Linked DNA regions of Drosophila melanogaster. The protein of the gene in region 2 interacts with the protein of the main gene of each other region in a pairwise test. Each region holds a gene or a part of one and is shown on either strand. Other genes may lie near its edges.

Evidence for each region.
Region 1: the proteins of CG15482 (region 2) and hbn interact in a two-hybrid assay, tested with the Drosophila melanogaster proteins (one large-scale study listed by BioGRID).
Region 3: the proteins of CG15482 (region 2) and aru interact in a two-hybrid assay, tested with the Drosophila melanogaster proteins (one large-scale study listed by BioGRID).

The regions. Positions count from the first base shown.
Region 1 is NT_033778.4:20,953,989-20,964,034, reverse strand, and holds hbn (homeobrain), read left to right. Parts: upstream 1-3,125; 5' UTR 3,126-3,447; coding exon 3,448-3,604; intron 3,605-5,189; coding exon 5,190-5,496; intron 5,497-5,645; coding exon 5,646-5,775; intron 5,776-8,259; coding exon 8,260-8,347; intron 8,348-8,573; coding exon 8,574-9,121; 3' UTR 9,122-9,367; downstream 9,368-10,046.
Region 2 is NT_033779.5:13,208,800-13,214,843, reverse strand, and holds CG15482 (uncharacterized protein), read left to right. Parts: upstream 1-3,029; 5' UTR 3,030-3,062; coding exon 3,063-3,992; 3' UTR 3,993-4,071; downstream 4,072-6,044. Other genes in the region: kek4 (kekkon 4), read left to right, coding at 173-1,835, 1,901-2,187; Pect (phosphoethanolamine cytidylyltransferase), read right to left, coding at 4,616-4,933, 4,999-5,184, 5,245-5,408.
Region 3 is NT_033779.5:860,428-869,282, forward strand, and holds aru (arouser), read right to left. Parts: upstream 5,435-8,855; 5' UTR 5,400-5,434; intron 4,634-5,399; 5' UTR 4,482-4,633; coding exon 4,450-4,481; intron 4,368-4,449; coding exon 3,971-4,367; intron 3,912-3,970; coding exon 3,768-3,911; intron 3,708-3,767; coding exon 2,136-3,707; intron 2,072-2,135; coding exon 1,892-2,071; intron 1,832-1,891; coding exon 1,739-1,831; 3' UTR 1,422-1,738; downstream 1-1,421. Other genes in the region: CG13950 (uncharacterized protein), read left to right, coding at 337-930, 1,002-1,269; dbe (dribble), read right to left, coding at 8,312-8,855.

The DNA of each region.
Region 1 (10,046 bases), on a different chromosome or scaffold from region 2:
TCATCCTTAACCCCAACCGTCGCACCGCCCAAAACCTCCAGCCTCCAGGACATCTTCTTCCATTTTCGCCGTGCCCCCGGGGAATGGAAAGAATATCCGGTAGACAATGGCAGGCAGACTGTAAGTAGACGAAAACTTTTTAGTTGGATTATGTGAAGGGTAAGAATGAACGCATACACACACACACACAAACACACACACAGATACCCCATACCCATTTAGCTACTTTGCACCCACACAACGAGCGAAATTCATTTTATTACTTTGATATATTAGATTTAATGGTTAAGAAAAATGTTGCCAACAGCATCTTTTCCCCCACGCACCACATCTACCCCCTCCCCCCCCCTCCACTGGTTCTATTGTGAAAAGTGGGTGTTTGTGGGTTGTTGTCGTCGTCGCAGTTAACCTTATTAAAAGGTGAACACAGTCATGGCACCAGAGAGAATTGCCACAATGTGTTTACACGCAGCTGCTGCCAAGGGGGCGGAGTGGGTGGTGTGGGCGAAGTGGGTGGCATGGGTGTGGTGAATGGTTGGATGGGCTGCTGGCGGAGGGGGTAACACGATAATGACCTCGTTGGCTTCGATTCCCTGAGTGTGAGTGAAATGCCGGGACATCCAATGAGCTTTCACCAGCGTTGCGCATGTCCCGAGAGAATCTCTCGACCAGAGAGAATTCTGCGAGAGGACTCGCAGCTGGAGGATATCTTCTGACTGCCCCCCATTCCGGCCCCAAATAGATGTGCTAATTTAGAAATTACAATGAAGTGCAGTCTTCAATGAGTTTGAGTTTGAGTTTGGCTTTGATTCAATTTGTCATTTCACACTTGGCCTAAATGGCTTTCGGTTGCATGGGGCGGGGTGTTGTAAGAATGGCTCCTACAGCTAAATTAATTGAAAGTGTTGAAGAGCACAGACAAGTTGAGCTTGGATGGGAGGAAGAGGTCCTGTAAAGCGACAATATTGATTCGCAATTACTTACACTCAAGCGCATCAAATTTATAATGTGCTATTGTTGGGTAAGGCATTTGCCTAATAAAAATATATGTACTGATGATTTTCCAAGACTACTATTTAGCCTTTCTCAATCACCCATCAAAATATAAACCATTTGATAAGAGATTACCTAACGAATTATAGCTACTTAAGAACTAATTCCTCGTATCTTCAATCCAAAATGGGCAATCAGATTGCCCTTGGATAAAAAAGGGCATGTCCTGGGCTGGATTGAGGATCGGCAATTAGTGAGGAAGGAGCCCTTTTTTCTTCTGTTTAGCAGTCCTAATGAGCCGGCGATTACGACTAAGTGCGCTGATGATGCTGCATAAATTTTGGTGGCCGGCGAGCACTATGCATTCCACATTAGATTAGAGATTCCGAGGCTGTATGATCTGGGCAGGAACGCAATCCTAAGTCTCGAGAGATGCCCTCTGCAGCTCTAAATTAAACGAACATGCAATCGGATTGCTGAATGAAATCTGCATAGGGAATGCGTCCTATGAAAATATGATTAAGCGCCTCGGCAGACTAAACCTAATCCTGCGTCCTGTTGAGTCCCCGTGTCCTGTGGCGTCATGCATCTGGCACATTAATGAGTCCGGTCAACGCTTTGTCCCGCTTACTTGTTCACAGTTTTCGCGGAAATTACGTGTGCACTTTTCCCGATTTTCCCGGCTGAAGGTGCCGCGATCCTTGGCTTTGTTTGGGTTCGGGGCACAAAGGAATTGTGTAAGTTTCGACAAATTAGAGACCATAAATCCCGGTCCCTGCTTTGTTATCATTGTAGCCGGCGTTTTAGCACACCATGTATCCTTCGGGCATTAGATGGTTTTTCTTTTTTCGGGAACCACTTTTGGCCATTTTTGGCATCCTTTTGTGTTATGCAACCTGTGGGTGGACCAGGGTTCTGGACTAAATCTTGGATAGAGAGCCCTGTCTAAACTGAAGCTCAACGCAAATCCCAGATCTAAGTGGGTGATTTAAACAAGGCTGAGCTATTTTCGGTTATTTAATCGTAGCAAAACCAGGGCCTACATATTTTTAGATCCTTTTTGGTTGGTGCTACTTAAAATATTACATTTTTATCATTAAAAGGAAACATGCAGAAAATATAAGATTGGTAGGAAATCTTCATAGTATTTAGATAAATATATGTATTAAATTTATTTATGTATTATTATTATTATGTATTTATGCACTGGCTATTAATTAAAATGATTTGAATACTCATTAGTGAAATCAGTTCCGCACTGTACCTGTTGCTTTTAACGAAATTCAATGCGGCCGAAATCCTTCGAGATGAGATCAGTTTAATCAATGAACTTAGGTTTCGATCCTGCCACAGTTCCTTGCTAAGTAAAGGGATTCATTGATCGTTTGGCTTGTTCAATGAAACCACGGGCTCATTCTCAAGATCACGGGGATCCTGGCCATAAATCTATCGCCGAAATGGAAGCGGAACTAATAAAAGAGGACCTGGCAAATGGCCGACTTGATTCAGGTACCAGTTTGGCAATCCCGTGAGTGGTTCAACCTGTTTTGTGATTTGTGGATGAGCCGGGAAACGGGAGGGAGAGGAAACTACTGTGAGAGAGAGTGAGATATATATAAAGGAAGAGGGGGAAGGGTGAAATAGTTTTTAACAAGCGAAATTTGTGAAATAAACACAATTAATGAGCAAACCATGTTAGTTACAACTACCGAAAGAGAGTGCATTAAATGGGTAGGAAAGAGAAAGGTGTCAAGGAAAAGTACCAGAGAGATTTGAAAAGAGAGACAGAGAGAGAGAGAGAGTGGAGGAGGCCAACACCCCTAAGCCAAAACCAAAAGCTACCTGCAACCCAAACTCACACACACCGAGCGAGCCAACCCAACACACAGATACACGGCACTGAGATACTGAGATACTGGGGGAAACTACCCCTACAGCAGGAGAGAGAGGGAGAGAGCGAGCGTGTGCGAACGAAAGAGACGGCTGGCATGGCAGGACATGGGCGAAAGCGAAGGATTGGGAACTGTGATTCCGATTCGGATTCGAGAGCGAGCGAGCGAGCCTCGCCCATTTCACTTGCTAGCGAAAAACAGGCAACGTATTTAAACCTACGGGCGGCAGGAATCGCACTCAGTCGGTGGTTGTTGATCGTCACGAGCACTACTCACTCGCAGTTATTCACTCGATTCGATTCAGCTCATTGCAGTTCGTCGCAGTGGCTGTTCCGTATTCCGTATCGAAATCGCATCGTTTAATCGACAAATTTACCCGATAATAGCAATTAATTAAGCTAATTTTCAAAGCGTGCTCAACAAATATTGTGACATTAAACAAAAGTTGCCAAAAACGAAAATCTGGAAAATCGCTAACAAAATAAGAAAAAACCAACTTGTAGCAAGTGAAGTAAACCAATAGAAATCCGTACGGATCGCGAGTTGCTCTTTTGGTGGAGCTATGATGACCACGACGACCTCGCAGCACCATCAGCACCATCCAATCATGCCGCCAGCCATGCGCCCCGCCCCCGTTCAGGAGAGTCCTGTCTCACGCCCCCGCGCCGTCTACAGCATCGATCAGATCCTGGGCAATCAGCACCAGATCAAGCGCAGTGGTGAGTTTTAGTTTAACAAATATAAACTGGGGATAACTTACTGGAATGTAAATGTAAGGGGATCCTTTTTACAAAAATTCATCGTTTGCCGTCGGCGATCTGCGTTAGAGTTTCTTAGTACATCACACAAAAAGCTTAAAAGGAAACATAATCAAGATACAATAATTGCATTTTCTTAGAGAATCTTAATAAATTGTTTAGCTTAGTTTGATTTAAAAAATCCAATATCAAAATTAATTTGTGAATAGCTATGGGCAGGCGTAAACGAATTAAAAATTCTAAATTTGAATGTATAATTTGAATTGATTACGACCTATTTAGTTAGTCTAGCTTGTTAATTACAGCTTTGAAATATTTCTCACACACATCTTAAACATAATGAAAACATCCTGAATGCGTTACAACTTACCACCAGCAGGGCAAAATATCACGTTAGACTTCATGCACAGCCAATGGGCTCCCCCCCCAAATTTGGTGCTCCAAAATCCGAACCGTCCTCCTACTCCACTGACCACATCAAATAGATCCTTTCGCAAAGGAGCCGGAGCAGTGGAGAGGCAGATTGACATTGCCATCCATATCATATGCAAATTGCTCGCAAGGGACATTTTATCATAGTTGGGAAAGGTGAATGAGGGCAGTTCAAAACTTTCCGACAAACACCGACCTCGAACTCCACCCAGAGAGCAAAAAGAAAACATATCATGACAATGGGAGTTGTTCGGCATGTCGGAACTCTTGTTGTGGGCGTGGCCAAGCTGCAGGAGGCAGTTCGCCCAAGGATCTACTTGAGAAGAAAAAAAAAAACACTGTATCAAAACATATCTGGCCGGATATATCGCATGGAGAGCGGGAACGGGCAATTGCGTCATTAGACCCGTAATTAGATTGAAGTCCTCGGGAGAGGTGGAGGCTGGAAATTGCCTGGGCTGGATTCAGTGGAATCACGGCACCCATTGGTCCAGGTTGCAATTTGGCGACAACGAGCGGCGTGCGCACCGCAGGACACTGCATCCTGTGAGCCTCGTAATTTGATGCTCGCTGGAAATTACCTTCTTGCCACATGGGTCTGCGTAAATGTTACGAAATACGATAAGGATACAACCAGGACACGGGCGTCCTGCTGAGCGGGGACGTGTCCTGGTGCCATTGTGAATCCGATTAATTTGAGGTTCATTAAAGTTTGATTACACGTTTTGCCTTGGCTCGAAAAGAAACCGTTTTGAGTACTCACCAAATCGTTTCGTGTGAAAGGATATTTATATGCTCGCTGCCGTGGTATTGGGGTTAAAACTTATTCCGGCTTTATATTTATTTGTTATTGATTGCCAAATCAATTTGCGTAGCTTTCGAGCACTTGAAGGATTTGAATTTTATTCGAGACTGAGACCGTACAAAAAAAAGGGGGTTAAAATTGAGGATATAACTACTTCAGCCACAATTGAATGAACTTCAATTTCTGCAGCTGCCGTTTGGCTTTCGATTTTAAAAGTCAAACGCGAAACTTTTTGTTTCCCCACACACTCGAGTTCAATTCGAAATTGTTTAACTTTATTTCCCTGCCACTTTTTGTTTTTTATCGCAGATACACCCAGCGAAGTGCTGATTACGCATCCCCACCACGGCCATCCGCATCACATCCATCATTTGCACAGCAGCAATAGCAACGGCAGCAATCACTTGTCGCATCAGCAGCAGCAGCAGCACTCGCAACAGCAACACCATTCGCAGCAGCAGCAGCAGCAGCAACAATTGCAGGTTCAGGCCAAACGAGAGGACTCCCCAACGAATACGGACGGCGGCCTGGACGTGGATAACGACGACGAGCTGTCCTCCAGTCTGAACAATGGCCATGATCTCAGCGATATGGAGAGGCCGCGTAAAGTTCGAAGGTGAGTGCAGCGACAATCCGCTTAGCAGATCAAATCGTATTTACCCATTGTCGGGCTATTAAAAAACATGCCAACAAAGAGGAGGGGGGCAAACTCTTATCCGACGTATCTAACGTGCCGCCCTTGCCGTTCCTTTCGATTTTTCACAGATCTCGCACAACATTTACAACATTTCAATTGCATCAGCTGGAGCGAGCCTTCGAGAAGACCCAGTATCCCGATGTTTTCACAAGGGAGGATCTGGCCATGCGATTGGATTTGAGCGAAGCACGCGTGCAGGTAATTGAAATTGGTTTTCGATTCGCACAATTATTTTCGAATTAAGTTGCAGTTCAACTCGCTCAAAATGTATCTGTATTTTCATCTAACGGCTATGGGCTTTAAATATTGCCATCGCAGTGTCCGCTAATAAGCGAATAAACCACTTTCAGAGTCTGGGAACTTGAATGGCTAGATAAGAACGGGCAAAACAATCGCCGAACCCAATTTGTAAATGGTCTTTGAAACACTTAAGCCCCACTTTGTATACAAACACGCTTAGTTCGTTAGTCGGAGGAGGGTTGAATACGGGTGAATACGCGTCCCTTTTTCTCTATAGAGGGTTGGCACCAAGGACATTAGATATTGTGATTTTCCAAATGATTAAATCGTCCGCGCTCACATGGTGTTGGTATTTTTATTAACTCTACTTTCGGGTAAACAATTAAAGTGGCTTTGGGTGCTGACTGGCGGCAGGACACGCGGCCAAATATACCCGACTACACATGTAATTAGGGTGTCCTTTCGCCCCGAATCGCATACGATTTGATTTCAGTTGTGAAACGCTTTCAAACACTTCACATCTGATTGAGCGATTCGCTCAATTTCGATGCTGTTTGTTGACAGGGAATAAAAAAGCAGGGAAAAGTATGGCCTGGCACAAAAAGTGAAAAAAAACAAGAAGTGAAGAGAATGTGAATGTGAAACAACTTGACCTAAGCACTCACATAGGGATTACCCGCTTCGAATACAAATTGTCCGTTTCACGGTCGTCATCCGCATGCTCACATCCTCACATCCGCATTCTCATCCTGCGCGTCCTTGCACTTATTCGTATCTGTTAGCAGATTAACTGTAATTGGTCATTGATTCGCATATGCAGAGCGTTTCGGGTACTTGAATAGTAACCGACTTAGAGCTGCCCGATTTTAATACATGTGTTATTTTTTTTGCTGAGCTGCTGATAGATACAAAAGTATCCAAAGCGTAATCCCCGCTTGTTTTGGGGTTGGTAAGTGAGCAATTATTTTCGGATTTGCATGCTCGTTGTGTGGGGCATTTGGTGAAAAAAAAAGGAGTAACCAGCGACTTATCTGCCGGGTTAAGTCAAATTTTTATTGTCGAGTTGGGGTATCGAAAAAAGCGAAAAAAATATTGAAAGCGAATTTGTATCAATCTGGAAATTGTTGAAACAAAGCGTTTTTGAACGCTTTATGCAGTCTTTTTAATTGGAATATATGCAAAGAACTTTCACATTTGAAAATCCAAAATAACGAATTCTTATACAATTTTTTAAAGTACACATTTTTTTTTTGAGTTTACAAACCGCCTCTTCCAGTTTTTGCGACAGTTTCTTCTCTCGTTTTGATCGCACATGTGTGATAAATGCTGAACGGATATCCGCAATTCAACTTTTACTGCCTGGCTGCTCTGGCACAGTGGTTTAAGTTGTTGCCATAATAATTGCTGCCAACTGACAATTAAAAAGCCCACAAAATCGCACACACACACAGCACTTATGCTGTGAAGGGGTTGGGGGTGGTGGGTGGCGTTTTCTCAGCAGAGACACACACAGGACACAGGACAATAATTGGCAGCAATTATAGCAAGGAAATCGTTGCTAATTTACTACTCGCTCAACTGCACACATTGTTGCAGATTGTGGGTGGCCGTAGAAGGGGGTTACATCTAAATACAGGGTGTCTATAATTGCAGAGCCTTCTCTATTGTCTCGAATTCATCAACGAGCGTTACAGACAGTTGTCAAGTGATTTCAATTTACAAACAATTAATTTTGCCATCAAAAACGAGAGCCTCGGCTCGGACTGAAAATTCGTCGCCCCCAAAAGGCGGAAATGTATGTGCAGCCAACGCCTATTTTGTGGATGGCCTAGGGGGCACATTTGCATAGGGGTGAATTTGGGTGGCTGCGAGTTTGGTCCACCCCAAACCCAAGCAAGTGTCGAAAAATGCATAAGACACCCTTTTGTCCGACGAGCGAGACGGGTAGCGACAGACAGAGAGCGTTGCAAATCAGAGCAGAACACTTCCGATTGGATGCCATTGTATTTGACCTAACCCTCCACGGCGTCCAAGTCCTTTGGCTCAGACACTCGAGGCTGGAGGCGGCAGAAGGAGCCATCCAAGGACCAAGTGCTTCCAACTTTGCGAGCACACAGATTGATAGATTGGGAAATTGTTCGGTTTTTGGTCAAAGTCAAAGCAATTACAAGTCGCTTGCCAAGGCGCTAGTTTTGTAGAACTAATCAAGTTTAGATCGAGGGATAGATACCCTTTAGAAAAGTATGCTGGTTTTTGAAAAGTATACAGGTTGTATACATAAGTCAGAAAAAGGCATATCCTCTCTTCGGTAAATGATATATCAGATAATTTTATGTTTTTTATTACCCCTTTAGCTTATAATAGCCTTAAATCCGAGGGCACCCAAAATTTGCATACCTACAACTCCATCTCTAAACTCCCTTCTTTTTCGTGCACTTGCAGGTGTGGTTCCAGAACCGTCGGGCTAAATGGCGCAAACGTGAGAAGTTTATGAATCAGGACAAGGCCGGTTACCTTCTGCCCGAACAAGGTGAGTTAACCACCCCCATCTCACGAATCCACCCCATCAAATCCCAGCCATCACCCACCCAACCAGCGATACGCATTTGATTTGTCCGCAAATTGCCAAATTACGTGTGCAACATAATTAGGAATTATGTCGCTTGTGTCGCTTGTCTCACCACCATAACCACCGCCACCACCCGCTCTCTCTGACTTTCGACTAACGAAATCGCCCTTTTGCCTTCCGCTTGCAGGTCTGCCGGAGTTTCCGCTGGGCATTCCCCTGCCGCCACATGGACTTCCGGGTCATCCGGGCTCGATGCAGTCGGAGTTCTGGCCCCCGCACTTTGCCCTCCACCAGCACTTTAATCCCGCTGCAGCCGCTGCCGCCGGCTTGCTGCCCCAGCACCTGATGGCGCCCCACTACAAGCTGCCCAACTTCCACACCCTGCTCTCCCAGTACATGGGCCTGAGCAATCTGAATGGGATCTTTGGCGCGGGAGCAGCTGCAGCAGCGGCGGCAGCATCGGCCGGCTATCCGCAGAATCTATCGCTGCACGCAGGACTCTCTGCGATGAGCCAAGTTAGCCCGCCGTGCAGCAACAGCAGTCCGCGCGAGAGTCCCAAGCTAGTGCCTCATCCCACACCGCCGCATGCCACGCCCCCAGCGGGCGGCAACGGAGGCGGCGGACTGCTAACGGGCGGACTGATCTCGACGGCCGCCCAATCGCCGAACAGCGCGGCAGGTGCCAGCAGCAACGCCTCCACACCCGTCTCCGTGGTCACCAAGGGCGAGGACTGAACGCTGTTCCGTGATATTTGGATTCGTTATGTACATATATAGATACACGCATACTTGTAGATATCTAGTTTTATTCATGGTCACATAGCCCACGCACTGTAAGATATTTGCAGCTTTGTCGATTGCCAAAGTTAACGTAGTTGTAATGCCTAAAGAATTATGTATCTGTAAGCGATCTTCGAGCGAACATTTTGGTAGTCTATCCACTAAGTTTAAACTGTCGAGAAATAAACGATATGAAAAGATACTTGTTGCGTTTTATGGCTGGTTTGAAGATATGCTAAAAAGTAAGATAGATTGTTGATCAAAGAAATGAATTATTTCACTATAAAGATCTTACGTCAAGTGATCTTAAGTTATCACACAAAACATAGGATGTGTCGTTTCTTTTGTACATTCCTTGTAAACAGGTCTTTCAAATTTTCTAGCCTTCTTCACATATTTTCATTTTCAATGCCAAAATTAATCTCCCGGTTAACTTCCGTTAACGGGAAGGACTTTTATAATTTTCCACAACATACATACATACACCGATCTACCCGCCGCGCGGCAAATTAATCGCAAAAAGTTTGTACCTTAAGTAGGGCTTATGACCCTACAAAGATCCATTATGAATCGCTCAAATGCTACAATTGATTGTGTACAAAACTCGACTCGACCTTTCCTTTTTGCCAGAGTCAAATGAAAGCGATCTTGGGCCGAATATCGAGGATATTCGACGACCTACCCCGACAATCGAAGAAGGGGCCAGAGTTCAAATCGTATAATAATCTCGATATTATGTCAAAATTGCCGAGCGCAGGAAATGTTGCATAACATGTGAAGAGCAGGACAAGGAGCAGGAGACCAAGTAGACCAAGGAGCCGGAGAACAATGGGAATCCAGAAGGAATCTATCGCATTGTGCCAGACAGCCGTGTAGGAAA
Region 2 (6,044 bases):
TTTCTTTTTACTTTACAGCATGGCTTTCAGGATTATAATGCTAGGCGAACAACGATTTAATGACGGACACTGGACATGAGCGAAAATTAAGCAAAAACAATCAAATGTGCATCAAACAATAACCCAGACTAACTGGGATGTGCTAGACCTTCCGTTCCTTAGAAAAATCTCAATGGCCATCAAGCTTAGCTTCGATCCATGTAGTATTTCCTTAAAGCACCTGTCGCTATTCCTATTTAAGATATACTGCTTGGCACTCATATTCCGAAGTGCCAGTGCCGATTGGCTATTGGACTGTGGAAACTGTCACTGCAAATGGAACTCTGGCAAGAAGACGGCCGACTGTCGCAATTTGAGTCTGAGTGGAGTCCCAGAGTACCTCAGTCCGGAGGTTCAAGTGCTGGATTTGTCACACAATCATATATTCTACCTGGAGGAGAACGCATTCCTCACGACCCACTTGCAAAATCTTCAAAAGTTACTCATCCGAAATGGCACCCTGAAGTACCTGAATCAGCGAAGTTTCACCCAACTGCAGATCCTAATAGAGCTCGACTTGTCCAATAATCTACTTGTCGACCTGCTACCCAATGTGTTCGACTGTCTTTCGAAAGTGCGGGCGATATTCCTGAATGGCAACCTGTTGCAAGCACTTCGCCATGGAGTCTTTCGTAATCTCAAGTATCTGCACAAGATCGAACTTAAGCGCAATCGCTTGGTTAGCATCGATGCCAAGGCCTTTGTGGGAGTACCACTTCTCTCGCAGATCTATCTGGACAACAATGAGCTGACCAAACTGAGAGTGGAGAGTTTCCAGGACTTGACTAAGCTCACAGCATTATCGCTGGTCGAGAATCCTTGGAACTGCACATGCGATCTTCAGATGTTTCGTGACTTCGTTATAGGCATGAACCTGTATACACCGCCCACATCCTGCCATTATCCTTTGCAGTTACGTGGTCGTCTGTGGATCGAGGATCAGCCGGAGGCGTTTGCCTGCAAGCCGAAGATTGTGTATCCAACACTCAGTACTTCCATCAACACTTCCAAGGAGAACGTAACGCTTATATGTCGCGTCCACGGATCTCCCAATACGGTTATTGCCTGGGATTACACCAATCAAGTATACGAATCCCGCTCCAAGCCGGTGAAAAGTCTGCAAAAGCAGCGCATCTACATAGAACTGTTGCGTGAGGATGAATCAAAGATTCGAAAATTCGGACATGATGTTTTTGTGTCACGTCTAACGATAGTTAATGCCCGTAAGAGCGATGAGGGCGTCTATACCTGTCTGGCGGAAAATCCCGGTGGCAAGGATTCGGTTCACATAAGTGTGGTGGTGCAAAAGGATATGGAAAGGATTTCCCTCATCGACAGCAACTTCTTTGCAATAGTCTGCCTTATAGCCATGGGTTTTCTCAGCATGTCGATTCTATTTTCGTTGGTAACATGCCTAATATTTAAGAGATTCAAGCAGTTCCATCCCGGCCAGCACACTTATTTGCAACCCACTAGTTTGCCCGTTCAGTCACCTGGCAGTGAAGAAGCCACCGCCATCAGCGCCCTAAGTTCTGGAGTTATAAGGGAAAGTAAAATAGTGCTGGATCCATTAAGTGCTATCAATGAACCATCAAATAAAAATTACACTTTATTTAAAACATCCAATTCGAATGGCAGCGAGTATATGCACACGAGAAATTATAAAGACGTGAGATTAAACAGCAACACATATACTGAAAATCTAGACAATCAGGCGGAATCCATTTCATCGCGGAATCGGGAGCTCTATTCAAATATAGCTGGTGACCGGGAAAAGGAAGAGCTCAAACAGAAAGGCAATAAAATGCCAAATAAAATTAGTGCTCAAATTTTAACTTATTCTTGTTTTTCTCCTACTTAGATGAGCTCGATAAGGATTCCCGGCAGAGTTCCTTGCAATCAACAGGCTGCTCAAGAAAGAAGGGACAAATCGATGAACTCCAACCGGACCTTTTGCCTTCCACTCAACCTACTGCCTTAAAAAATATTAATGAAACTTTCGGTCCATCAGCGAAAAAAGCAGAAGTTAATCCCCGAAGCAAGTACAATACCAATGTGCAAAAGTACCTAAAGGAGAAGTACGGCAGTGTTAGAATAAAGAATATCAGTACTAAAGAACCCATTACTGGTGTTGATATCTCAATATAATATATTAATGTTTTATAATATGGCATTTCCCACCATACACAGCTGCGAATCCACCGTAAACCCCATGCCATTGAAATTTTAGTCTTTGCCAGGATTTCAATTCATATCCAGCCCTACCTCTCTAAGACCTCCAGGAGATAGATGGACAAAGGAGATCCAGTCAAGAAGAAATATACCTCGCCTTATTTCTGGTAGTAAATTATGTATTTTAAAACGTTACTAATATATAAAAATATTTATTTACACAGTTCTAAGTGTTTTAACCCACGCACTTTAAGTGAAAGGAATGTAATAATAAAGTTTTAAGTGATGCCTTTAAATGAAAAATGTGTAGCTTACTTGAATTAATCTTATATTATCATCGAATTCTAAAAAGCATTTTTAGTAAATCGTTTGATTTTATTTACCTGACCCACTTTTACCGTACTCTACGTTCTATCATCCCTGACCTACCCCGAATTCATTCTTGTGTGTGCTACAATTCCCAACTGCTTCTGGCCGTTTGCTCATGGAGACCCTTTTCGTTTTCCGTTTCAAGTTATCGCTTCTCGGCCTTATGGCTAAGATCAAAGTGTAGTATCTGTTCTTATCAGCTTAACATCTGATAGTTCCTCCATTGGAGGACAACAAATGTTAAACTGATTTTTGGAATCAGACGGAGTGCTAGGGGCTTGCTCCACCTCTGTCGCGGGTTGGCCCGGTATTGCAGTACCGCCGGGATTTCGGCCCAACTGAATAATAAATATTTAACTATTATAAAATCAAAAGGATCTACTTGTCAACACAGTAGACTTTCAAAAGTTGCTAGTATCTGTCTATCTGTCTAGTTTCTTATCAAAATTATGTCGTTTTGGCAAGCCTGATTACCTACCACAATGACTGCGCCATTTACCTCGCGTACCAACCAGGCCGCCGATTCCGGCAAAGATCAATCTCCCATCCATGGATTGAGCCGGAATCGAAAGCGTCAGGAGAGGCGAAAGCAGCGCCTGCAGGAAATGCAAGATTTGCTGTACACGAAACACTTTTCCAACTACAGACTGCCGGCATCGGTGGCCGCGCCAGCTCCCGAGGATCAGCTGCTCCTCAAACTGCAGAACTTCGAATCGCTGACCGAGCAGCCGTCCAGCAGCAGGAAGAGCACTGCGACCACATCTAGCGATTCGCCGTGGAGCCGACTGCGCCTGGTGGCATGCCCATGTCACGGATGCCTATGCTCGGTTGACCCCAGCGCTCTGTTGGGTCACTATTTGAGTGACCATCTGCCGGGAATGGGAGTTCCGTTTTATGAACTGGAAATGGGCAAGCGAGTGTCACTAACATGTCATATTAGTAGCCTGGAAAGAGATGTCAACACCCTGCTGGGGGTCTATGGCTATCGGCGCACTGGCCTTAATCCTCTGAAATGTCACCGAAACACCCATCTGCCAGTGGAGTACCGCCGCTTCTCGCAGCATAGCGCCCTTATGATCTTCGCCTGCCGCACCATGCACTCGGTGCTGTGGGAAAGGAAGCGTGTCAAACACGAAGTCCTGGCCATCTGGGTGGCTACTCCTTTGCACGGCGTGGCCATCACTCTGCGCCTGCTGGTCCAACCTGCCAACCTGCCACGTTACTACACCAGACAGATAAAAGCTCGTCCAATGCTGCCACTGTCGTCGAACCAATCCTGCAGTGAGTTCATCAAGACCGACAGCAACGTGATCCTCATCAGCTTGAATGACCTCCGGCCACTAATGGATTTAGATGTTTGGCAGCAATCGCTAACCGTCGAACTGAAAGTGATTAGCGAGGCAAGTATATAAAACTTCCGGTTTTTTTTTTTTTTGGAATTCGCAATATTTTTGGCCATGTATTTAAGTCTAAGATTAAACAAGGAAACATAAAACTTGAACTCGCACTTACTATATGCATTAATAAATTAGGACAAAGTATCAGAGATTACATTTGATAAAAGCAGCTACTTCCTGATCCAGGCATCCTACTTCCGTTGCTGAATATATATACATACAAGTCGTACAAGGCTTTTCAATTCGGCAACAGTTTGGATAACATGCTATTCGTACAATTTTGTTGTTCCTCACACTTACATCGTACTTTAAAGGGAATTTACAAATTTTGAGCTTACATACATAAAATTTAGATTTTAAATATTCTACGTTAATGTGTTAGAAATATATAATTATGTGTATAACCTTATATCATTAAGGCGCATGTGCAGATATTCTAAAATTGTACTAGAAATCGAGAGAGCGGTGCGCTGAATCCTCAGGCAGCGTCGCTTCGCTTTTTACGCAACAAAAAATTAAAGCGCCATCATCAGGGGACGACATACTAAACAAGACAAACTAAATAAAACAAACTAAAAGAACGCAACTAGAAAATAAAAAACATCCGTCTAGTGTGAGAGGTCGGAATCTGGTTCCGGCTAGCCGGCCTTTTGGGTCTGTTTTTGGCGTTGAAGTGCCTCAAAGGCTTCGATTTCCTTCTTTTCTTTGGCCTGATTGCGACGCTCATATTCCAGTCGGTGCGAGATGATGCGCTCCACGATGCGCTCCGTGGTCATCTCGTTGCCGGAATCGATCAGCTCAAAGATGGCTCGCGTCTTGGGAACGGCATATGGATCGATCTTGCCATTCTCAAGCGCAATGGGTGTGCGTCCATGACAGACAACATCGATTTTGAAGTGCTCAAGCAGCTCTTCAGTGACACAGTAGGGAGCTCCGATTACTACCTCATTGACAAACTGGGGGAAAAAAGAAGTTTTAAAATGAGATAATATTTAAAAAAAAGAATCTATTGCAATCCTACCTTGCAGGCCAAAACACTGAGCACGCGCTCGTGCAGATTCATAATGGGATAGTTGCTGCCCTTGTAGGAGTTCACCACGGGATCTGTGTGCAGGCCAACAATCAGATAGTCACCCAGTTTCTTAGCCTTTTCCAGAAAGTCCAGGTGACCCACATGGAAGAGATCGAAGGCGCCAGCCACATAAACCTGCAAATACCGACAATTATGAATTATACATTATATACATATAATGAGGGCTAAACTTACAATCTTATCGCCGGGATTCGGTGACTTTCCATCACTGAACTGTATGATCTTTTGGGTAGTCGGCAAGAACTGACTACAACCGGTCCACGGACTTTTGGCTGCCGAATCTTGACCCATGTTCGAAGAACCTGGATGGGATTTTATTTGTCGTTTTAAAATTGACACTTTTTTTGTTTGTTTTGTATTGTAAAGCAACGCAGACAAATGAGCAAAAGTGTGTATTTAAGAGCAAAAATTTACGTTTAGGATTTGATTTCGATTTGGATTCGGATTTGGATATTTTGATTGCAGGTTGGTCATTGGGCATTCGGCATTTGGATTCATTTCGCGGGCGCGCACACGCACAAAACATTTAGCATAGTTTTCATAGGTTTCATACATTATATTATATTTTTGATAGTGGTTAACAGTGCGTACATAGAAATAAAAAGAAGAGAAATAGTAAAGTTGTAGAGGGCAACCATAAACCAAGGCGTTATTTGCGTTCAACTATGGCAAATTAAAAAGAATCTATTGGGGAAAATGCATAAACTAATCGTGCGTAGCCCATGTATAAACTGAATATATCTGTATAATATTGTTCATACTTGTAACTGATTGATCGACTTTGATTTATGCACAGCATGCAAGAGCAATAAACAAGTTCGACAGCAGGAAATGAAAGACAAAAAGAGTGCAAACAAAAAGTAGTCTTAAAATTAAAGTTAGTAATGGTTAGAAACAATGAATTTGGCGCACAAATTCACAGTGCTCGCTGTGATTTAGGAACATTAAAATGAAAATAAAATGTGCCAGAAAAG
Region 3 (8,855 bases), about 12 Mb from region 2:
TTGGATACCCGGTTCTCCACTAAAAGAATACCGCTTTGATCTGGGTTAAAGTCAAAGGTCAAATGTAGAAGCTGATTTTCTAACCAAATGAAATTAACCAAATGAAATAAACCAATTAGTTCAAAAAGTAAAAAGAGATTAAGTATAAATGGTATTCGAATTATCCGATTATTGACAAAACAATGCAGTTCTAATGCCAACGAAAGGCTTATAAAGCTGTGACAGAGATTTGCAGAAATGAAATGGGTATCCTTAGCGAGTTTGGGGGAGTGCCGAGTATCCTCCCAATCCATATCTAATACTTTTTACTAATGACACCTCTCGAATTACGGACAGAATTTCGCTGGACCTCACGGACAATGTGAACGCGCAGAACGAGAGCGAAACGGTGTTCCTGAAGATCGAGGCCAATTTCCGCGAGGGCCAAATCATCCGCAGCATGTTCCAGCCGGGCGGGGGATGGCAGCAGGAGGAGATCTCGAAGAACTGGAAGTGCGACGGCCCAAAGAACCCGCTGCAGCCTGGCCAGAGCTTCACCTTCCGGGTGGCGGTGCTGCAGCGATGCTTCGAGATCTACGTGAACGACCAGCTGTACGGGTCCTTCGAGTTCGTCAAGTTCCCCAAGCAAATCAACTACGTGCGCACCTACGGCGACTTCGAGAAGATCACCCAGTTCCACCACCGCATGCTCTTTCCGCTCGTCTTCCCCAGAACGCTCATGTGTCCGGACAAGGTGGCCTTCCAGAGCGACGTGCCCAGGCGGTATGAAACCGGCACAGTGGTGGCCATGGAGTGCATCGCCAAGGGCCCGCCGACCACGGAGTTCTCCATCTGCTTCCAGTGCAACGACACCGGGCGTACGGTGCTCCGGTTCCACGTGAACTTCGATCGGACAACCGTGTCACGCAGCTACCAGCGTGAAGACAACAGGTATAAAGGAGTCCGAGACTCCAATATGCAAAGTTCCTCCAAGAGAATTCACCTTTACTCACTTATTCTAGTTTTGCCTTGAGCGACGAGGAGACCGAGGGCGAATTCCCATTTGTGCGCGGAAAGCTCTTCAAGATCGCTTTTGGGCTCGGGGATCGGGCTTTCCTGATCGCCGTCAACGGGCAGTACTTCACCTACTACAACTTTCCCGGACGCCCCTTCTCCATATCCACTCTGAAGTGCTTCACCAACGAAGTGGGCGACTTCGCCGTGCGGAGCCTGGAGTACCACTCCGATTCTCCGCTTCTGGCCCGCGTGGAGAAGTTGTCCATCATTTAATCGATTCGAGTTCTCGTAGTATGCTCTTTGTTCAATCGTTGGCTTTGATCACCGTACAGCACCAGTTAACTTCTTCTTGTGAGCATCCAAATAAAGCAAAGCAGCTCTCCAAACTACAATCTCCTCAATAATCATCAACCAATAGGCAGGTTCCTTTGGATATAATTTTATTAAAACAAATTATTGCCGTCGCCTCCCCTTTTCGCCTGGATGAGCATCAGCTTAAGCATCCGCCTCAGCAGGAGCCACGTGCTGCTCAACAGCTCCCGTCTGGAGCTCCACTTAGGTTAGTCTTAAGGTTAGTTCTGGTTTGCACACTCCTGCGAGCGAGTGCAAGGTATTGGAGCCAATCCGATCGCTAGTGACCAGGACTAGCATCCTAGACGGAACTGCTGATGTCTGTCTCTCTATAACGCTAGATCCTCACTACGGAATATGTGTATATGTATATGGTGATCGCATCTCGATCCTAGAAGTAGCGGAACTCGCCCTTCTTGCCCAGATGCTTGCTGCGCATCATGTCGGTGGGATCCGGCGATCGCTGTTCCATGCCGGGATTATCCTGGGTAATGTAGAGCGGTTAGCAAGTCCCATCATGAATTGAGTGACCAGCCTTACTCACCCCTGATCGCGATTTGTTGCCCGGACCTGTGGGACCCGTCGGTGGCTGCTGCTGTTGCCCGTAGAACTGGGCTCCATCTCCATCCCCGAAATTGAAGGGGGTTACAATCGTGTGCGGCACGTGGGCCACCTGACCCCGCATGTTGCGCGCCTTCCACCACTTTCGGGTATCATCAAGGATCTAAAGTTTCGAAGAGATGGTTATAGGACAGAACGAAGGATGGTAACGTGGGTGCTGGCCTTACCTCCAAGTATTCGCCTCGCATCACGCTAAGCTCCTTGTCGTTGTTGGCGGTTCGCGGATAGGTGACCAGCACAATCTTAGCGCCCGTCGCCTGCAGATCCTCCAGCCAGGACTCGAGCATCTGGTCGTCGCTGACATTCGGCAGGCCTCTGCCTCCACCGCCCAACTCCGACGAAGGCCCCGGACCAGCTCCTGCTCCGTACCCGTTTCCACTGCGAGATTCCCTCGTATGCAGATTCTGCAGACCAGCTGTGATGGCGCTAAGGGTTGGTCCAGCTCCTGGTCCGTGGCCATGACCATGGCCATGTCCCGCTGCTCCGCCGCCCCTGCCTTCGATCGAGTCGAACGACAGCTCGCTGCGGGCGTTAAAGTCAGACGCACTGATTGCGCCCGCCCGCTCTCTGTCGCGCTCCCTTTCCCGCTCCCTTAAACCGTCGTTGCCGTGGTGGATGGTGTACTTCTCGATACCCATGGCCATGTTCATCCCGTTCCCCGAGTCGTAGTCATCGTATCCGCCTCCCCCACGACCATTTAGTCCGGATCCAGCCTGGACCTCGAGTCTGCGCTTGCTCACATGAGCGGGCGGGGAATTTGGTGGTGGCTCCAGTTCATCGTTGATCAAATAGTCCGGTGACCAGCCATCGAGGAAGACCGGATGGTAGGATCCAACGTCATCCTTCCACTGATCTCGCGGGATCACCCAGGCATCGCCCAACGAGCGCCACAGCTCCGTTTCCTTGCTGGTTACACAGTTGATGAGCAGGTTGATGGCCTCTCTGGTCAGCAGGGGATTAACCACACGGGCCGGTAGCTGTGACTCGTAGTACGTGTCGCTGGAGGCCTCCACAATCAGAGCCAGCGGCGTGAAGAGGAAATGCACCAGTTCGGGAGCGTTGGGATCGTGGATGTGCGCCTTCAACTTTGCCAGCAGGTTAAATGACAGCTTAAACTTGGCAAAGATGTCCACGAACTCCTTCTCGTGGGGAGGCCGTGTCCTCAAAGTGAGCAATCCCTCCCCCGGATCCCTTTTCTTCGACTTCCGATTGCGACGACGGCGCTCGAGCTCCCGGGAAGCGGCGGCGGCGTGCTGAAGACGAGCTATGAACTTCTCGATGTCATCGAAACAGTGATTCAGCACAGCCACATCCCGCTCGTACTTCTCGCTGGACGTGGAGCTAGTCTCATCGCGCTCCGTTGCGCCACCGCCCCCAATCCCACCGTGTTCCGAATCCGTCTCGCCACTAATGTGGGCAACGTCATCGCCAGAAACTCCTACTCCGGCACGGATTCCATACTGTTCCATGCTGCTCCTTTGGTGCATGTGATGGTGGCTTTCGCGCTCACGGTCTCGATCACGCTCCCTCTCGCGCTCTGCCCGCTGCTCCCTGTGCTGGTGCAGCTCCACTCTACTATGCGACGAGGACGAGGAGGTTTTGCTCATCATCATGGCCATGCTGGAGGCTCCTCCGCCTCCTGATTGAGTGGGTGTGGCACCGCGCTGCTGCGTTATCATCTTGCCGCTTCTCAGCTGCTTCAGATCCTCAACCAGGTGAACGGCGGACACACTTTGTGACTGCAGGGATAAATCATTTGAATGAAACTGTCATGAGACAGAAGCCTCACTAATTCTCACCTGGAATATGTGCATCTCGGAGCGAGAACCACCGCCTCCGGATACGATAAAGACCAGAATGTTGTTGTATAGCTCCATGGCGTCATTCGAGGTGAATGCGGTGGGCTCCTGAACCAAGGAGGCGGGGAATCTTTCGATTATGTTCTGTAAGGCAAGGATGAAGATGAGTTCCATAAGGATCTTTCCCAGTTTGTGAAACGTACCCCTGTTTCATAGTCCATAATTAGCACCCACTGATAGTCCAGGCAGAGCTGCATCTTCTGCGACCAAATACCCGTGGTCTTCTCCAGCTGAAGGAGGCGACGCATTCCGTCCGCCGGATACACAATGCCGGACTCCTTGTTGACCGTGAAGGTGGCCAGGTGTTCCAGCAGGTAGGTGGGCTTGTCGTGCAAGTCACTCTCCAGACGCTCCCGCTCCTCGCCGCCTCCGCTGCGATCGTCTCCGGAATAGTCTCCTCCTCCGCCGCCGCCTCCATGGGCACCGCCTCCTCTTAGGCTTCCGCTACTGTTTCCAGCACTGCCGCCTCCGTTCGAGTGGTGGTTCACCATGGTGTCTCCCAATCCCGGTACAGGCTTCGATCGACGTCTGAAGCTCCGTCTAAAAATAAAATTTTTTCACATCATCATCATCGTCAACAATTTTGTATATCGGTCTTTGATTCGTTTAAAATATAAGTTACCGTTTAAATGATGAACTTAGTAGCTTAAACATTGATTAAAAGTTTTGATCGTTACCAACTTATACTTTTGCTTCTTAGGTCGAGTTGAACTATCGTCATTTGAAAATAATATTTAGAATTATGTGTATGCTTTTAATAATCCCATTTAATCGCTTATTCCAATGACTAAAACATTATATCGTGACTGCTGTCGAAAAACATGTTTAACTTGATTAGAATAGTATTCCCAAAACTAAATTTCCTATTGGCAGGGGTGTGGTTAAGCCCCTTGGAAGTCTGGTTCCCAATTTGGTCTCTCAAGACCTTAAAGCCTCCGCTGACCGAGTCTTCGAGCTGAAATCTTATGAGTGTCGAATACGAAAATTGGTCCTAAAGTATGTGTTAGATCATTATGCTGTGTTTATTTTGTGCAGCTGAGACTAAGTCCCTCTGCATCCGAAGGCCCCTAATCCCGCCAAGCCACTTGGATATTGCGCAGCCAATCGTCTCTGACTCAGACCGCATTCCGATTCCAAGCCTCCACTAGCGTTGGCATACACACTCCAAGCGATCCGCACATGGCCGCAATTATTCTCAAACTTTAACATTTCGTTGTTGGCTTGGATCAGCATTGGAATTCAAAAATCGCGCTACTTCCACTTCCCCAGGTTCTCCTCTAAGCTCGGTGTCTCCACTTTGACTACACAGAGAATATCTTTGGATAGTTTACTTCCGATTATATTCATCTTATTTGTATTAACAGCAGCAAATTGTATTGCATTGTAGATGTAATAGAGAGTAATTGTAGAGTAATAGCTCTTATCTTCAAAAATTAGGCCAACTATGGTTCTATGTCACAGTAACATTCTTTTCAACACTCGGATAAATCTCTCTTATTTTTTCTGTGTAGCCAGTGAACACACCTGCAAAAGACACACACACACACGTAAAACTGAGATTTGCAAACACACTTTCTCGCTCCCTCTCGCTCTAACCCTCGCAGACTCTATCCAAACCGCTCCCTCGACTCAAGTGACAGCAACAACTTTTCCGCTGTTTTAGGCTGGGCTCAGACGCCGACTGCGACGCGGGCAGCGGTGTCGCATACCTATCTACACTAAGCAAAAATCGCTACTGTTTTTATAAAGATATTGAAAATCATTATAATAATCCTATGGCGAGAAAGTCTCTAGAATGTAGTTCTAACCATTTTTAAATGTTAACAACATTTTCCATGATAGAAACACCCCCAAGTTTGTCGATTGTTTTCAGTGTATCAATCCAGCAGTGTCGCAGGGTCAATGGACAGGGGAAAGGGGGTGTTGGGTGCTTGTGTACTTGCAAACAGGTGAAAGAGAAACTGCAGAGGGGGTCAGCTGGAGGCACTATCTGCTTACGATCTTGTACAAGCCAAAATCGCAGTAAACAAACAAGCGAAGTGCACGTAAAAAAGAAAACACTGACCCACTACACCCCTGGAAATGTTTTGTTTTCGTTAAGTTGCGCCGCTGTGTTATATTTCAGCGTTTTACTGTTCGTACAAGCCCCAAATTGCATCACACTTGTGGAATTTGACAGATTTGTGTTTTCGCTCCTAACTCTACAGCAGCTTAGAGGCCAATGACGAAACGCGATAAACATTATCGCACTTGGGTAACATGGAAATAGTTGGGCTTGCATAAATCATGCTTTAGAGAAAGTACTAAAGCTGCTGGGTGATTTGAAGTTAAGTTAAGTCATCATAAACATCTACAAAAACATTATGCTAAATGAAATACATATATGTTTATAATATAAGTATTACTACTTTTGTACTTCTATAATCTTGAAATATTTGCAATCCACACATATGTATCTATGCATCTGTAAATAGGGGAAAATTATAAGCCTCGGTAAGGCAATCTAAGATACATAACTGCACTGGTATCTAAGAACTCCCCGACAAGAACCATAAACCTGGAGACATGCCCCAAGCATAGCTTCCATTCAGGTGAAGATAATTAATTGGGTCCTGATAAGCGTGAGATGGGGTGTTAGAGCCTCAAATAATTCAGACAGCTGGGATTTAGATAAAACGGCGGCGTGCGGTACACTTGCTTTTTTATTTTATCTCGCATACTTTTTGGTTTACGAAGCAAATGGCAAAACAACAAATGACAATAGTTGTTTTTGCTGTTCTTTGGGTGGAAACCCGCTCGTTAGATGGTGGTGGGCTGGAGGGGGGTGGAGAGACATCGACACCCCGATCCACACTATTGTCGTCCCCCTCGCGCGCATGCGTGGCAGATAAGCTGACGTCTTTGCTTGCGCTGGTGTGTGCGGCTTGAAAAGGTATTTGTCTCCGTGTCTCGAGCCCCCCGGCACCCGCCACCCCCTCGCCTGTTGCTGCAACTTTAGTTTTTGACCGACCGCATTTTTTAAGCTTTCTTTTCCACCTGTTTTCCGTTTTCCTCTCTCACTGTGCGCTGTTTATATTCCACGAGCCTCTCTCAGACACACACACACACGTCGCCTATAAGCCGCACTCACACAGGTGAGGCTTCACAGTAATGTGCGAGCGCGGATATACAGTGGACCCTCAAATAAGTAATCTAATTGAAAATAACATCCTTGAAGCTCTTTAGGCAATTATTTAAATTAATAATCTAACCAATTTCAAATGATTGAACTTAGTATATGTTCCAGATTTCCCGCAATCGAGTATTACTTCACCGACGCATTACTGTATGTACAAAAGTGGGAGCGGCGGCAGGTTTCGTATTGATTTTCAATGCTTTGTTCAATTCATTCACTAATTCACAGACACAGGCTCAATTCGCTGTATGTATTATTCTAATTGACCGCATTTTCCGGTGAAATGTGTGATATTCATATGTATGTGTATACACTCCCTTCGCACACACACGCACAACACACAGGTATCGATATCACGTTAGCATTTCGATATCATCCTCTCACCTAGCAGCACATTCTTTTTCTAATTAGCACGAATAATCCAAGTCTCTGTCACGTTTGCTTGGCATTTCAACTGGCTTTCGGGCTTATTTTCGGGTTTAGCTTCGGTTTTAGGCGTTACAACTGCGATCACTCGAGCATTGTTTCAATTTTAATTCAAACATTAAAAGTAACTGTAGTCCAGCACTTAATCCTCTCTTCTTCTTCCACCTCCTTATTACCTGTCTTCGCCGTTCTCTCCGTCCTTTTCTGGCAGCCGCCGCCTTTGGTCTAGTGCTTTCTCGCTCCTCTTTGATTTTTATTTTTAAGACGGCTTTCTTTCGCTCCGTTCTTTTTGATTCTCACAGACCGTTTTTCTATTTTCTATTTTTCTGTCGCTTGCGGAAAATAAACGTACGAATAACAATAGCCCCGCGACGCCAATGTTGTTGTTGCCGTGGCTTTTCAGATACTGTTTTTGTTGTTATTGTGGAACGCACGCGAGCGTCATCCGCTGTTTAAGCGCGGTTAGTACATGTCAGTCCGGTACCAGAAATCGTACTAACTTGGCTCATTCGCTGGCCTTTTGAGTTGTTTGTATATATTTGTATTAAGCCACTTGTTGAGAGAGTGCGACAGAGAGAGAGAGGGAGAGAAAGAGATCTCTCTCTACACTAGCGGGCACCGCAATAGAATCAAAATTATTGTATAAGTATTTAATTTAATTTTATTACAAGTATAAGGTATTCAGCATGTTATATGCTGAATTAGCATTATGTATCCATTGCATTTTTGGAGATTGGCTTTTAAAAACAACTAGAATTAATACGAGTTCGTCCCCACAAACTTTTCATCCCATTAGTAAACCTTAAGATTTCTATTTACACGTTGCTCAGAAAATCAATTTTTATTGAATAGGTCCTACTACTAATTAAAACTAGGAAAACTATCAGCTGCTCCTCGCCTTCTTGTTGGCCTTGATCAGCTTGGCCTTCAGGGCCTTCACGTCCACCTTGCTGGAGGAGGAGCCATCCTCCTTCTTCCGACTTGAAGCAGCTGACTCCTCCGTGGGCGGGACAAAGTCCTTGTTTCGGCGTTCGTCCTGGCGCTTGGCCGCCTCCTTCTGCTTTTCGGTGCGCTCCTGGTTGCGCTTCGCTTGCTTCTGCTCCTGGTTGAGGAAGTACTCTCCGCTGGCCAGCTGCTTGTCCACCTTGCTCTCCGGCTGGCTGGGCGGGAATGGGGTGTACTCCTTCTTTTGCTTCTTGACCTTCGGCTGCTTGCGTTTGCTAATGTTTTTGTTCTTGAACTTGGGCAGGAATCGGGACCAGTCCTCGTTGGCCAGACGCGGATCCTTCATCAGCTCCCGCTTGATCATCAGAGCCTTAATGTTGTATATGGGGTGCACATTGTTCATGGTCTCCAGGACTATATCCCGCACCTGCTGAAGGCCCTTGTAAGGACCCAAGGCGGAGACTGTGTTTCCTTGAACCAAA